2 linked regions of the Oreochromis niloticus genome follow. The protein of the gene in region 1 purifies or fractionates together with the protein of each later gene. This does not show direct contact. Links are inferred from orthologs where the notes say so. Each region holds a gene or a part of one and is shown on either strand. Other genes may lie near its edges.

Region 1 (7,833 bases):
AAAAGTGCACTTGTGCGTGGACAAGTGCACAAGCACAACTAAGTTTTAATACCTTATATTATACTATATTATGCTACAATATTACATAATGTATATTTACATTATGATATTCATAAGTCACACAGTGAATTACTGTGTAAACTGGTGTCAGATTGAGTAGAAAACAATCGCAGCATAAGCTGCAGTATATGATTTGCTGTCCGTGTCTTCTTAATGGGACTCTCTAACCTGGCAAACGATGAATGATGGTGGCTGGGATGGGGGAGGAGAAGTGTTTTCTCCCTATGACCCTCCCTCACTCTCTTTCCTTTCCCCTCTCTCTCTCTCACACACACAAATTACCCCTAAATGAAATAGGTAAAGTTTGAGTAACTTTCTCTCTTCCTTTTCCTTTTCCTTTTCCTTCTCCTCTCCCTCCCTCCCTCATTCTCTCTCCCTTGCCCATTCTCCTGCAGTCTCACTCACACACTCACACTCTGGCTCTCTTCAGTGGTACAGCACAGACAGGCACAACATCTGTCCTGCACGTGAAAAAGGTTTTTTTGGGGGGGGGTTTTACCATCCAAATATGCTACCTGCTTTGTGCTGAACTCTTGTGCTCGTGTGGGCCAAGGCTGAAAAAAGGGGTGGAAGCACTGGCAGAGAGGAAGAAATTAAACCAAGGTGGATGATGGTGAAATAATGCACACAGATTTGTCCGTTTGTAGGTGCCCAGTGAACAGATTCTATGAAAAGCTGTGTGCATCTGCATACATGCAGACATATACTTGCATAATGAAATGTTACAACAACAAAAAAAGACATTTTACTATCTTTTGATACTGTTTTTTATGCAAAAATGACAAAAAAAAACTACTGAAGGTCCAGCTGATTTTTTTATTTTTTTTTTGTAATTTCCATTATCAGGAGCAGTCTGTCCTCTGAAAGAAGGAAGGGCTGTGGTCGAAGTCTCTCACAAAAGCAAATGAAAGGCCCCTTTAATGGTCAACTCGTTTTCTTTCAACCTCAATATTCACCCTGTTTGTTTTTTTTCCCCCTGCCTTTAGAGGTCGTGCATGTAAGCGTGTTTCGGGCAGAAACTCAGTAATGCTACTACTTTTGCATTCGAAGGCAAACAAACAGAAAACATGCATTTAAAGTGTTGCAGGTGTCCTTGAATTCTTTGTCATTTCCGAGCCAGCTCTGAAGCTTATCGTGCATTGATGAATATCTCAAGCCATGATGAATACCTTACAAATGGGAAAATAGCTTTTGGCATGTTGTGCAGGCAGTCTAAGTCAAAAGACAGGTGTGCTCACTGTAATGTTTCCAGAAGCTGCAAACAAAATCTATACTGATCCTTAAAAATCACTAAGAAGTGATATTCCACCAGATGATTTTAAAGTCTTGAAACTGCACACTGTGGTATTGGTTTGCATTTTTTTTATGAATGAGTCATTATTTATCTTTTAAGTGGTAATTAAATCTTTAATAGTAAATAAACAAAACAAACAAACAAAAAACGGCCTCCTGTAGGCCACTTTTTTGTTGTTCCACACCTTCTAAAGTGTTGCCTCCTTCTTTCAGGCCCTGCTATTTTACTTTTTTGTCAAGCTCAATTTGCCAACAGGGCCCTGGCTCAAGGTTGGAGATGGAAATGGAGGAGGAGGAGGGGGAGGCCACCGGCAGTTATGGCAGGGGCCCCTGAAGGGGCAAAAAACGGTTCCTAAAGAGTGGGAGGCAGGAATTCCACAAACCAAGCCTGGCTGCTAAACATTCAGCTTTCTCTGCTGCAGAAGTGCCCTTTGAAATCCAGCTGCAACTGCATTTGGAGGAAGAGGGGGACAAGAGAAATCAGAGGGGGAGGGGGACTTTAAATTTCCAACAAAAACAGAGGATGGAGGAGAAGAGGCAGAAGAGAAAGAGAGGAAGAGAGCCATAGAAGGGAGTGGGGTGTCTGGTAGAGCGTCTGAATGGGCGTGCTCCTCCAGGGCCTCACCCCCCACTGTAAGGGACCTCCACAGATTATCCTTCATCTCAGCTTGTCCGTCTTGACCCCAACGACCCCGAGGCCAGCTCCATGTCCCCTTCCCCTCGTGCTCTCTTTTCTACACACACACACAACCTGGATCCTCATGCAAAAAAAAAAAAAAAAGGAAGAGGGGGGGCCCAATAGGAGAAAATCCAGGCTGATGCGGAGGACAAATGAGAAGGGGGAAGAAAGAAGAAAAGAGTGCTTTTCACCACCACTGGTGTGAAATAGAAGTGGGGCAGGGAGATGGGCCGAGGGGGAAGGCACATGAAGCACAGTGTGTGGACAGTGCTGCAGGTGTTTTACTCCAAGGATTCAGGATTTAGCGATGAGGGTGTTCAAATCAATAGCTGCAACATTTGCTTCATTGCTTGGAAGCTTCACACTTTCACTGCCTTTTTTGTTTCTTTGAAATTATATTTTCTACCGATCTGTAAAGCCTCGTTGAAAAATGAAAAAAGTGACACAAGTTTCCCCTTTTTGGAGCTTTTGTGAAAACTGCATCGCTGCTGATATTAGCACAGTGACTTTCCGTTGGCTTCTTCTAAACTCAGCATGATTCACCGCCTGCATGCAGCACAGAGGAAGCCCGTTAACATGGTGGTCCCCTCTCAGAGAAACTCATTTGCTCTTCGACGTACTCAGTAACTTTCCTCTAGCTGAAAAAGAAAAAAAACTTACTCTCCATCCTAACTGAGCTCCATAATGAAACATATAAACTTCTTTCCGCAAACAAAAACATGGGAAAATCCAATGTCGTGCGTGCCTACGTGGAGGACCCCTTATTTGCCCACATGGAGGTAAAAATGGAAAAATCAAGTAGCAGGCTGGACAAACTGTGAGCGTGAATATGTTAGTGCTCCTCGGGTTCTATTTGCAAAGCTGCAGGTGGATGCCTGAATGACACGATGCTGTTTGTGTTGGCTCGGCCCCTGGCTGCACTTTGTGGATGTGACCTACCTGCTTGATTTTTTTTGTTTTTTTAATGTAAAAAGGCAATCTGGAAAGAATGACAAGCACGGGAGCCACTGTGCATTTGAGTGGTGGACAGAAATCTCTGTAATATTTGGAGGCATTTCTTAAATAGAGACGTGCATCTGTGGTGCTGCAGATGCACGTCTGATTCTTGAGATGTACTTACCTCTTAACTTAAAAGTGAATTCTGACGCAGTATTCATGTGTTAAACAACTGAATCTGTGTTCTATCACAGTTACCGGCCTTTTATTCAGTAGTGGATGCTGATTACACAAAACTCTTCATTTGATCCTCTCGTTATGGATTTTTATATGTGGCAATATTTTTAGATGTGTTTATCATTTCACCTGGATTTTTGCACTGAAAATGTCAGTGACCTCTGAGGGAAGTTTACATCTGCATATGCAGTACATTTTAGAAAAAATGTAAAAACCTTTTTCAATTATAAATTTTGTTTATACAGCGCCAAATTATAACAACAGTCGCCTCAAGGCGCTTTATAGTGTAAGGTAGACTTTACAGTATACATACAGAGAAAAACCCAACAATCATATGACCCCCTATGAGCAAGCACTTTGGTGACAGTGGGAAGGAAAAACTCCCTTTTAACAGGAAGAAACCTCTGGCAGAACCAGGCTCAGGGAGGGGCGGGGCCATCTGCTGCGACCGGTTGGGATGAGAGAAGGAAGACAGGATAAAAGACATGCTGTGGAAGCTGTTTGTGAAGTACACTTTTCTACCACTCCACACTATTACATCCCTCAGGTATACACATTACTTATAGATACACATAGCCTGTAAATAAATCATGTTCAGTCAAGTGTGCGATATTTTTAAATCCCAGTCTTATAGTATATATATTTTCAAGATTTGTGTCATTAAATATAATGATATAAACAAAAAAGAGTCTTTAATCTTGAATCTAGAACTGCAGATGACAAAAATGCATACATGCAATATGTGTACCTGCCTGACGTTCTTTTGTTGTTTGTATGTTAACTAGCTACCTGACTAACTTTCATGGCTACATGTTGTTAGTTGAGTTTATGAACTGGACGTTTTCATCGTATTATATTTCTCCAATAAATCAAGGAATCTCTGTAAACATGTGCACCTGTTCATCCAATTTTCTTCAAAGCTTCCAGGGACATTATCTCAGAACCTCCTAGCATGATTTGAGCTTTGGATAGCAGCGAAAGCCAGTATTGGCAGGAAGTTATAAAAAAGCTAGTAATTCTAGGTTCAGCTGAGATAATTGTGTTTCACACAAACTGTTTCAAGGGGTTACAAAAATAGAAATAAAAGAAGGAAATAAAACAACACACATGTTTAAAATTCCATAATCAAAGTCATTTTTTCTGTTGAATTACTATAACTAGACTTTACAACATAGTACAGAACATGTAATAATAATAATAATAATAATAATAATAACAATAACAATAATATAATCACATCGCAAAAAAGTATTTTACAGAGTAACATAACATAGCATGAAGTGAAATAAACAAACTCCTTTTCCAAGTGTTGTTATTAACACTGAGAAAATCCCCTGTGTTAAATACGAGGATAGTATTTAATTCAGCCCTGCTACATTGCATTCCAATAAACATTGCTGTCTGTTTTTCATGCCATGGGTCACATGATTATATCCTTTATGATACTACTTAAACAGGATAATTAAATGATGTAAGCATTAAAACAGTTATAGAGACTAGGACTGGCATACTGAAAGACAAATTAAAAGCTGTGCTCTTTTTTTTCTGAGTGGATAATTCCCTGAAGTCTACATTTCCACCAGCGCGGTTAAACTCCTTCTCGCTAGGGGGCGATAGTTTAAAACCAGGTTTTGGATTGCTGGTACCCGAGTAATCGAGGAAACTCTCTCTGTTGCTAACAGTAGCTAGCCGGATAATCTCCTGAACAGCGCAGCCGTTCTTATTTTCTTGGCCGTTACAGTGTTGGTCTGTGTTTTTCTGTTTAGAGTCCAGCGATCTTGGAATTCACCGTTAGTGACAAGCGTTAAACCAGACATCGACGGCCAACCTTTTTTTTTTTTTTCTCTCCGCTGGATGTTTGGCCACTCTTGTATTTCTCCCAGGATGTTAGCACATAAGCAAACCAGCTAGCTAGCAAATCTGCTAAAGTAGCCAAATAGCTGCTCTTTCCGGATGCTTTGAATAGCAACGCAGCGGATTTGGGGAGTTCCTAGTCGGCCTTGTATGATGTCAAGCAACCGGCCACAGCAAAGCGCTGCTGGGGCGAGTTCAGTGCCCAGCACAAGTAGCAGCAGCAGCAGCAGTAGTAGTACAGGAGGCACTGGGAATACAAACGGTGGCGGTGGCAGCAGCGCTCCCACAAGTAATGGGAGCACTTCTGGAAATGTTGTGCCCTCACGGACCCTGGCAGCGGCCGGAGAGGGCGGCCTGTCAGTGCCAACTCTGGCCGCCGTGCCGTCACCCCGGGGCGGCTTAGCTTCTCTCAGCAGACCGTCTGCGTCCTCTGGTAACAGAAAGAGATCCCTGCATCAGGCACCACTGTACAACGGCCTCTTGAATTCATACGAAGATAAAAGCAACGACTTCGTCTGGTTAGTTTTGTATTGCACTCGAGCTTTGGGGTGAGTTCCGTAAAAGTTTGAGAGCTGCACGATGACTCGGGTTTCTGCTTGTTTTTCCAGTCCCATTTGCTTCGAAATGATAGACGAGGCACACATGACGAAGTGCGGGCACAGTTTTTGGTGAGTGTTTGTGTTGTAGAGAAAATGATGCACAGCAAAGTATTCGACAGTGTCACAAATGCTGAAGAGCAACAAATGTCACAGACTGAAGGAACAAAGTTATCTTTAAGACAAACCATGCACTCTGCGGGGATCCATACTTACAGCTGATTACTGTGCACTTTAAAAAAAACTTTTGACAATATTTTTTTATAGTATTTTTTTGTTCTTGCATTTTGTTTTAAAGTTTGGGCATGTTTTTAATGTTACAGATGGGCTTCTAGAGGAAGTTCCAAATCACAGTCCATCACATCAGTGTTGCTATATTTTAATGACAATAACAACATCAAACCCATACAATGCAAGTTTTGTACACCATGCAAGCCTCACTTCGTCTCTGGTCAGACCCAAGAGTTTTTCTGACTCAAAATAGGGGTGACGCTGCAAAAGCAAGATTGGTTAAAGCAGCGAGTCTGTTTGGTGTACATTTCTGCATTTTATTTTGGGAGTTTAATGAGTGAAAAGCAAGCTTACGGTTAAAACATGTCCAACTAATTTATAATCCTGGTAATTTTCCTTTAGAGGATGCCACCAATATTGTTTTCTATTCAAGGTGAAAAAAAAAACCCTGAATTCAACTTTTCATTAATGCCAAAAGCCTGTAAAGGCTTGCTGTTTGTTTTGCACAGAGAATTGATCAGGATTCATTAGGCTAACATTAAAAAAGTAAGCACAATGGCTATTGCCACCGGAATCAGTAAAATCAACTGGAAGGAGTGCTTTATTTTGGCAAAAATCCCAATTATTTTGATCGATAATGAAATGACGGATGTTTAATCTAGTCTAAGATATAAGAGACTTTTATTTTATGTAAGCACATTTTCTTTTAATTATAGAAAGTAAATGAATGAACTAAGTCATCCACACTGCATTTTGATAAGAAGCAAAAAGGAAAAGGTTCAAACTGCAAAGTTGGTTGTAATAATTAAAAACAACATCAACAACAACAAAAAAACAGAGCAAAAACATTAACTAGTTTTTAATGACAGTAGATGGTCTTAAGCTGAATATAAGCCTGTAGACTCTTCAGCAAAGTTATGGTAAAGCTTAACATGATTACTGGTAATCCACAGTTGGCTCAGTGTTCTTTATGCCTGTTGTGTTTGCTTGCAGTGATTCTCATTTCTGTTAATGGGCTCGTTTTTCAATGCTCATAATAAACATGACCAAAGATCCAAGTAATGACATCAGCACATTAGCAAGTTATGCCTCAGTTTGCGATAGTTTGTCTACTCACTGGTGATGTCGGTGCGAGCAGATATCCTTAACAGGATCAGAGCTCTGGCTTTGAGCAAAAGTTCTGTTTTTGAGGGTCACATATAATCAGAAGAAGGCCCAGTATGGGATGAATAAAGATTATTTTGACTATGACTCGTTTAAAGCTAATCTTGTAAGATCTTGGACTGAAACGTGGAGCTGGAGTCCATAATATTTATTTATTCTCTCTCTCCATCCTGCAGTTTCAAGTGTATCCGCCAGAGTCTGGAGGACAGCAACAGATGTCCCAAGTGTAACTATATTATCGATAATGTGGATCAGGTCTACCCAAACTTTCTTGGTGGGTATTTTGAACTGGAGGGATTTTTTGTTTTGTTTTGGGTTTTTTCTAACAGTCAGATGATCAGCTCCTAAACTAATCATTTTTCTCAGAGCTTTTCATTTTAACTTGGACATTAAAATATAGCTGTTATGTCAGTTTTGGACTTAATGATTTTTAAAATCACAATATTTGAATAGATTTGTCTTTAGCTCATAATCACTACTAAAATGAGGCTTTCGTATTTGAATGAAGTCAAAATTGAAAGTTTTGTCTCATAAATGGGCCAAACAAAAATCTAATGAAATGCATTGTGTAGGTATTTAAATGCATAATGATAAAGATGTCGCTGCCACTTTTCTTTTATTCATCACAAGTAAAATGTCTCTGCAGATGTGTTGTTCCTTAGCTGTGACAGTCTCTTTGTCATATACTTACTCCACTGTTCCTCCTCTCTTATTTATCCCTTGTCCACAACTTCCTCACCACATCCCAGTAAATGAACTGATCCTTAAACAAAAACAGAGGTC
Region 2 (7,030 bases), on another chromosome or scaffold:
CGGTTCTTTTTTGTTCTCAGTTTCTACAAATCACATATGCAAAGCCCAACGATATCCTGTGCATCACCCAACCAAACAGAGTAAAATATATGTTCTCTGACAGTATATGTTGTTGAGAAGTGGTAAAGAACAGGAAACAGGTGGATCATGACTTGTTTGTCTTTGTTGCTGACACCTGCTTATCTGTTTACAGTCTAACAGCAACTGTTCTGCATTTTATTTCATATCGTTTCTAAGCACTAAAAAGGAGAGACTTCCCACTGACTTACCTCAAAGACACTGAGTATTGTAGGAGATCATGAAATATCCCTTAAGACAATATAATTTGTGTCTATGATGACAGATGTTTTTTCTTAACTTTCGTAATGTAGTAGCCTCAGCTTATGAGGCAACCTTTCAAACTGATGAGAAAGATGTTTTTCATGATGTTTGCATCAATGTGATGAAGTAATCCGATTTGTCAACGACAGACAATTCAGATTGGAAGTTTTAGGCAACTGTTACCAATTAGATTTTTCAGAAAACACCATATCACAATATATCTCCTACTTCTAAGTCAGCTTTAATCGAGACAAGTAACATTTTGAACATAATACTGTAAAAACCTAAATAAAGGGCCAAAACATTTATTGTTGTTCTTGCACTGCTGAAACCTGCAATCCTCCTCTAAAGCCCTCAAAGGTAATTATATTGAGGAAGTCATTTATTTTTATACATACTATTTTTATTTTATTTTATCGCTCAATAATCCCCTAATACATTTGAATACATTACTGTGTACAGCTTTTCGGTTTTTTGTTACTTCATTCTAAAAGCCTAAAAAAATACTATAAACATGGATCATTGTGAGTAGACTTTTAAAATTATTTTTATTTATTTATGGACTTATTGTGGCATTGTCAGAAAAAGTTGACAAAGCATTCTGAATCCGGCTCTACTTATGTCAACATGATCTGAAAGCCTATGTAACCGTTTTGTTTTTTGTTGTTTTTATTTTATTTTTAAAATCCCATGTGGGTTGCTTGTATATAGCAGCATATAGCTTCATTCAATCTTCATTATTCTGAACAGAGCAGTTGGTAAACACCAGTGTGCAGGATGGCAGCAGGACAGCCAGTGTGCGACGCAGACCTGGAATAGGATCGTTCATATCTGCCGTCTTGTTCTCATCGCTGCTGCCATCTGCACCTGCAGCTTCTTCTCTGTCCTGCTCTTCTTCCTCACCACCCTCCCCCTCCTCTGCTGGTGGATTCTGACGAGGCTGGAACCTGACGTCCACAAACTCCAGCTGGCGAAGTCCACGGAGCATCCTGCAACTCCGGGCTATCTGCAGCTCGCTGAGTGTGCAGTCCCACAGGCGCAGACGTTTCAGGTCTCTCAGGCGGCTGGCGCAGAGCAAACCTGGACCCACCTCTTTTCCACCAAGACTTAGCTCCTCCAGTCCAAGCCAGCCAGCCCCCAAGCCAAGGGAGGCCATATGTAACTGGTAGCCCTGCCGCCCTGTAATGCCTATTTCCAGAAACTTGAGCCTGGAAAGCCCTTCTACACCACAGACACCATCTTTGGCAGCACAGCTTCTAAGCCCATTAGCTGTTACGCGAAAGGTGTCACGTAGCTCTAGACGACAGAGCCTCTCCCATGATGTCAGACCCTGCAGGTGCTGGTCTGTAAAAGAGGGCACATTGTTAAGGACTAACCTCTCAATACCAATCCCTGAAGGAGAGCCAGCCCCTTTTCCTTTCTGGTTCCTTCCTTTCAGTTGAGAACCAACACTGGATGTGGGTTCTGCTCTTTCTTGGAGACTAGCTGATGAAGTAGGCAGGGTCTGATTGAAGAAGCCACGAGGCAGCTCGCAACCCCGCAGCTCCAGCACCTGCAAAGATGGAGGTAGGATCTGGCAACTGGGCAGGCTTCTCAGGTCTGCATGCAGAAGATAGAGTTTACTCAGTCGAGGGCATTTTGTGGACAAAGCTTTAAGCCAAGACTCAGAGAGAAAGGTTCCGCCACGTGCGGACAGCAGCAAACCACGCAAGCGAAGGCACCTTAGTCCGCAACCCAGGTACTGACGCAGCAGGACCCAAAGGATGCGGGATGTCACCTAACACACAGTGGACAGTCCATGAATATGTGTGTGTTGAGAGAGAGAAACAATAACTGTCAATAACTGCACAAACACACAACCCATATGTTATCAAAAGATGCTCACAGTTTATTTTTAGAGCATATTTTACACACAAAAGCATTTGCTTTACAAGGGGCTTTAAAAAGCAATAGACAATTTTATTTACTATCAAAGAAACTAAAATACACACACAATAGAAAAACACATACTCGCCAGGAGAAAATATTAGTAGACGGCTGTTAAGAATAACTAGTAACAGCTCAGAAACTGTCAATAGATGGCCTAAGACTCAAATCAGCAGCTAGGTTGTTGAAACAAAGACATGTCAAAACTAAAGCAGGCTAATATTAAGCTCCTGAAATAGCTTTCCCAAAGCTTCAACATCAATCGTACTGAAAATTTGTAGACTATGTTTAAAAGCTGGCTCTGTGCCAGGAAACCAACCAATTTAAATGAACTCGACCAATTCTGCAAAGAACAGTGGTCAAATATGCAGCCACTGTTGCACCAGAAGCTTGTCGATGGCTACCGAAAGTATCTAACTGAATTGCAACCAATATTTATATTAACTAAATATTAGTTGGGGTTGTATGTGTATATTTGATTCAAACTTGTGCATCTAGTTTTTCCTCTTTAAAGGCATTAAAGATGCGTTCTGTACAATTATTCCACCCTGGACAAAGAACAGTTCAAAGAAATTATGAAAAGCCCCAAATTTCTATGTAAAGAGCTTGGAAAGAAAAATGGCTGGACTTCTTTAAGTTTCTTGAAGACATTTCACCTCTCACCCAAGAAGCTTCTTAAGTTCTAAGACCAAATGGTGGAAAGTCCCAGGTATTTAAGCTCTAGTGGGAGTTGTCCCTTAAGACGGTCGTTTGGTCTTAGAACTGAAGAAGCTTCTCGAATGAGAGGTGAAATGTCTTCAAGAAACTTAAAGCAGTCCAGTCCCTTTTATTTCCAAGCTCCTTGGATTACCATGAGAACCTACACAGACCCAAATTCCTGTGGCATTCATTCATATAAATTTCTCAGCACAACTGTATAAGTGGGCCCGTTTTGAGACAGGAAAATCCGGGTGTTGTATTTTTATTTGATGACACAGATGAAACCAGTGCTGATTTTATGTGAGGGGATATATTAAAACATGAGTCAACAGCTCCTAGTCTTTCATCTTTATAAAAAAAGAAAAAGAAAAAGAAAAAGCAGAAGTTATCGCTATGGGTTTGTTTCTTTTATTATCCCCAAGTAACAGACTAGATTACTAAAAATGGCTGGCCTGCATTAACAGCAGAAACGAAAAATTATGAAGCCACACTGGCAACAACATCCTTACCCCTTTCCATGAAGTCAGGTCGACATTTCTCCACAGTCTTTGGTCTTTAACAAGGCGTTTCCACCTCTTACATACTCTAAAACCACAATTTAAAATATATAAACATATACACAAATCACATAACAAAAGACAAAACAAACGAAAACCTGAGTTTTGTTTTAAACGACGAATAACTAGTAAATCCTTGAGAGCAAAGTTGAAATCCCCTTACCTCCCGGCTCTGACGACCTCTCGTACGTTCAGGTAAGACAACACATCGATTAAAATGTTTTCGGGAAAGTAGTCCAGATTGCAGCCCCAGAATTCATCCATTTTGTAAACAAAACTCTCAAACCTCACACACGGAATGGTACATGGACGCACACGGGTTGCGCCCGAATCAGCAATCCCCCGGAAACACCGGTCCACTGACTGTGTGACCGAGCGGCCGCTGGGCAGAAATCAAATCAGCTACTTTAAGCTCAACACAACATTCCCCGACCCAGACAGCCTATGTTTCTATAAACCCGTCAGGTTTATGACCGTGAATATGCGGCACGTTTTGTTTTAAAAAAGAGCCCCACGAAGAGCCACTTAACGTCCTTTGCATCAACAGTCCACTGCGCCTGCGCGGATTACCGGACAAGATGGCGACCAGCAATGGTGGAGGAATGGAAGTGGATGGGGCAGGCGAGTATTTATCCCTCATCTCATCGTTTCTGTCCACATCAACCAAAACCTGCGTGCAGGTTGCCGTATATGTTGTTTTTGTGTGTTATAAGTGAGCGGAAGTGACGACTCCGTGGTGTTAAGGGGTCGTAAGGAGCTTGCTCGCTGACATAAGCAGGTTAACGTACTCAGCTCTGTGAAGCTGTCAGTACATTCATCACTGTGGATGTTTGAGGCAGTCCCCTCTGCTCTGCCACAGGAGTTTGCATCAGAAATTCGAAGTAAAATCTAACATCATGTGTAGTTTGATTAAAATGCTGTGGCAGTGCTGCAACACCAACCACGTAAACATTAGCTGTACATGAGGGGAACCGACATGCAGGCCTATATCTGTGTGATTAGTTACACATACATTAAAATGACTGTATGTAGCGAGCATAGGGCGACCACTCAGAGTCGAGAAAGTCGCGTTTTATTAATTTTATAAACTGTGTCATTGGGCACTCACTGACTGATCTACCTGCTCAGGTGTCCTGTTGGGAAACTGTGGAACTCGTTTTATGATTGCATATGCTATATAACTTTTTAGGAACGATCATGAGACTGATCTTTTGTGCCAAACTAAACAGATGATTAATGCCAAAAGGATATATCCAGTCACTTATTTTGAATGTAAAGAAAACTGTGTATGCACTGTTGCTTGGCTCTGAAGCTAAGTGACATAGATCATTGTCATCAGCTACAATCTGAGTGTAAATAATTTCTCTTATTATTTTGTCTGTTATGCATTGGTTATACGTTATTGATTGTTTTGGGTTCATACTGATTTACGGCTATTGATGTGTCTCTGCTTATTTTCTTGTGTTTCACATATACATGCAGTTTGATTAGACGTATACCGAAACAGGACTGATCCATTGTTCATTAACTTTCCAGTTAATGTGATAGGAGCATATTAATCACTTTTGGTTGATCACTGTTCCTTTTTTTCCTATTTTTTCAGTAATTATTTGGATTTGAAGAAGTATTTCCACTTGTACCTGGTTCATTTAATCTCAAATCACTGTTGCCCTTTTGCACAACTATCTCAGATTTGCCTAAAAAGGCAATGGTCCACAGATTGGATACATATTTATTGCTGTGAAATTTTAGCTTCATATATCAAATACTTTTCAAGATGTATTCTTTTCAAAAATGGTCCATCGACACATTTTCATTGATATCATACGAAGGTAAAATTTTACAGCTTGGGACCATAAAATTCTAAGATGGTTGAGCAGAAAACCCATGGTGATTTGAAATGGAATGATCCCTTTGTCTGGCTTTCCAGTAATTGTTTGAATTTGATAAAGTGCTTCCAGTTAACAAGTTTTTTGACTTTTTTATATTGTCATTGACATACTGTTAATCCCAATCTTATTTGTGTCTTTGTATGACTGTAGCCAGCCCCAGTGTTATGGCCTCAGGGGTCACTGGGAGTGTTTCTGTGGCCTTACACCCTCTGGTTATCCTAAACATATCCGATCACTGGATACGCATCCGCTCGCAGGAGGGCCGACCAATGCAGGGTATGTGTGAAAAAACAACACATTATCCAATCACATATTTATATATTTTGAGCTTACGTGCATTGGAATAAAAGTCTAAGTTAAAGATAAACATATGCTGTTGTGTTTGTCTCTCTGCTCAGTGATTGGAGCTCTGATTGGGAAACAGGAGGGTAGAAACATTGAGGTGATGAACTCCTTTGAGTTGCTGTCTCACACCATAGACGACAAAGTGCACATTGACAAGGAGTACTACTACACCAAGGAGGAACAGTGTAAGTTTTCATCAAGTCTTAAGGACAATAATGCACATATTTGTGTGTGCATCTTCTTTGATGACTCAGTTGTTCGGTAGCTGGAGTTGTGCTAAAATTAGTAACACCGGTATAATCATCATTCAGGAGATCAGTTCACACATCAGCTTGTTGGATGTGTTTTTCTAGACTTTAGTTTTGTCCTTGCCTGCTTTATTAAATTGAGACATTTTGTATCTGTGTTCTGACTTTCTCACACAAAGAACAATAAACAATACAACAATTGATAAGTCTTGAAGGCCAGAATGGGACTCTGTAGTTTTGGCGTTTCAGTTCCCAAAGAGTACCGATACATTGTTAATATGTCTGGATGGGCAAGGAGTAAAACATGTGAAGGGAGGTTTCTAACACTTGACCAAGAGATGGCAGCATTGGATCCAGTTCTTGAGCCATAAGTAAATGATTTACACACAAGTCTTTTGGTCAAAATTACATAAAAACTACCAAAACTCTCATTCTCTGCCTCTTATTTTGGATTTTGTAATTTTGTTTTCAAGTCGGTTAAGTTGCTGTTAATTTCCAGAAAATCAGAACAGGCCTTATAATAAAAACACAACTCTTTATGAAGGCAGTTGACTCACAGTCGTGCAGACTCTGTAAGAGTTTGCAGAAAAGCCTCATAAAGCAGAGTTTTTATTTATTTAGTTTTTTATCACGTTTTATTAAAATGACAAAGACTTAAACCTGTAGTTTGTTTTGTAGGTTCACTATATTGTTTTAGTTCGCTTTAGTTAACTGCTGTAACCTTGAATAAAGCGGAGCATGAGCAAAGCAAAAAAAAAAAAAAAACTCTTCAGTTTTCATGTAACTATGAGAGAGTTCATTGATGATTATGTTCTCCAAGCCCCTCTCAGATATGTATTTATTAGTAAGTCAAGTCATCAGATCATTTTTGTCCTTACATTGTCCTCTGGTCTCTCAGTCAAACAGGTCTTCAAAGACATGGAGTTTCTGGGCTGGTACACCACAGGTGGTCCTCCAGACCAGTCAGATATCCACATTCACAAGCAGGTAGGCAGACACTGAAGCCCACTGACAGGTGGCAGGATGTCGATGTTTTGACACG

The links. Proteins that work in one complex are often made in the same cells at the same time.
Region 2: the proteins of cop1 (region 1) and cops6 purify together in Homo sapiens (affinity purification with western blotting; 3 studies listed by BioGRID and IntAct, with this or other methods). This does not show direct contact. The link is inferred for Oreochromis niloticus from reciprocal best matches to the Homo sapiens genes COP1 and COPS6.

What each region holds. Positions count from the first base shown.
Region 1 is NC_031982.2:4,016,524-4,024,356, forward strand, and holds the start of cop1 (E3 ubiquitin-protein ligase COP1), read left to right. Parts: upstream 1-4,753; 5' UTR 4,754-5,209; coding exon 5,210-5,577; intron 5,578-5,667; coding exon 5,668-5,727; intron 5,728-7,226; coding exon 7,227-7,324; intron 7,325-7,799; coding exon 7,800-7,833. UniProt on the Homo sapiens protein: E3 ubiquitin-protein ligase that mediates ubiquitination and subsequent proteasomal degradation of target proteins.
Region 2 is NC_031966.2:16,067,105-16,074,134, reverse strand, and holds the start of cops6 (COP9 signalosome complex subunit 6), read left to right. Parts: upstream 1-3,999; 5' UTR 4,000-4,081; coding exon 4,082-4,124; intron 4,125-5,545; coding exon 5,546-5,671; intron 5,672-5,793; coding exon 5,794-5,925; intron 5,926-6,886; coding exon 6,887-6,975; intron 6,976-7,030. Other genes in the region: uncharacterized protein LOC100705850, read right to left, coding at 1,049-2,098, 3,456-3,531, 3,667-3,767. UniProt on the Homo sapiens protein: Component of the COP9 signalosome complex (CSN), a complex involved in various cellular and developmental processes.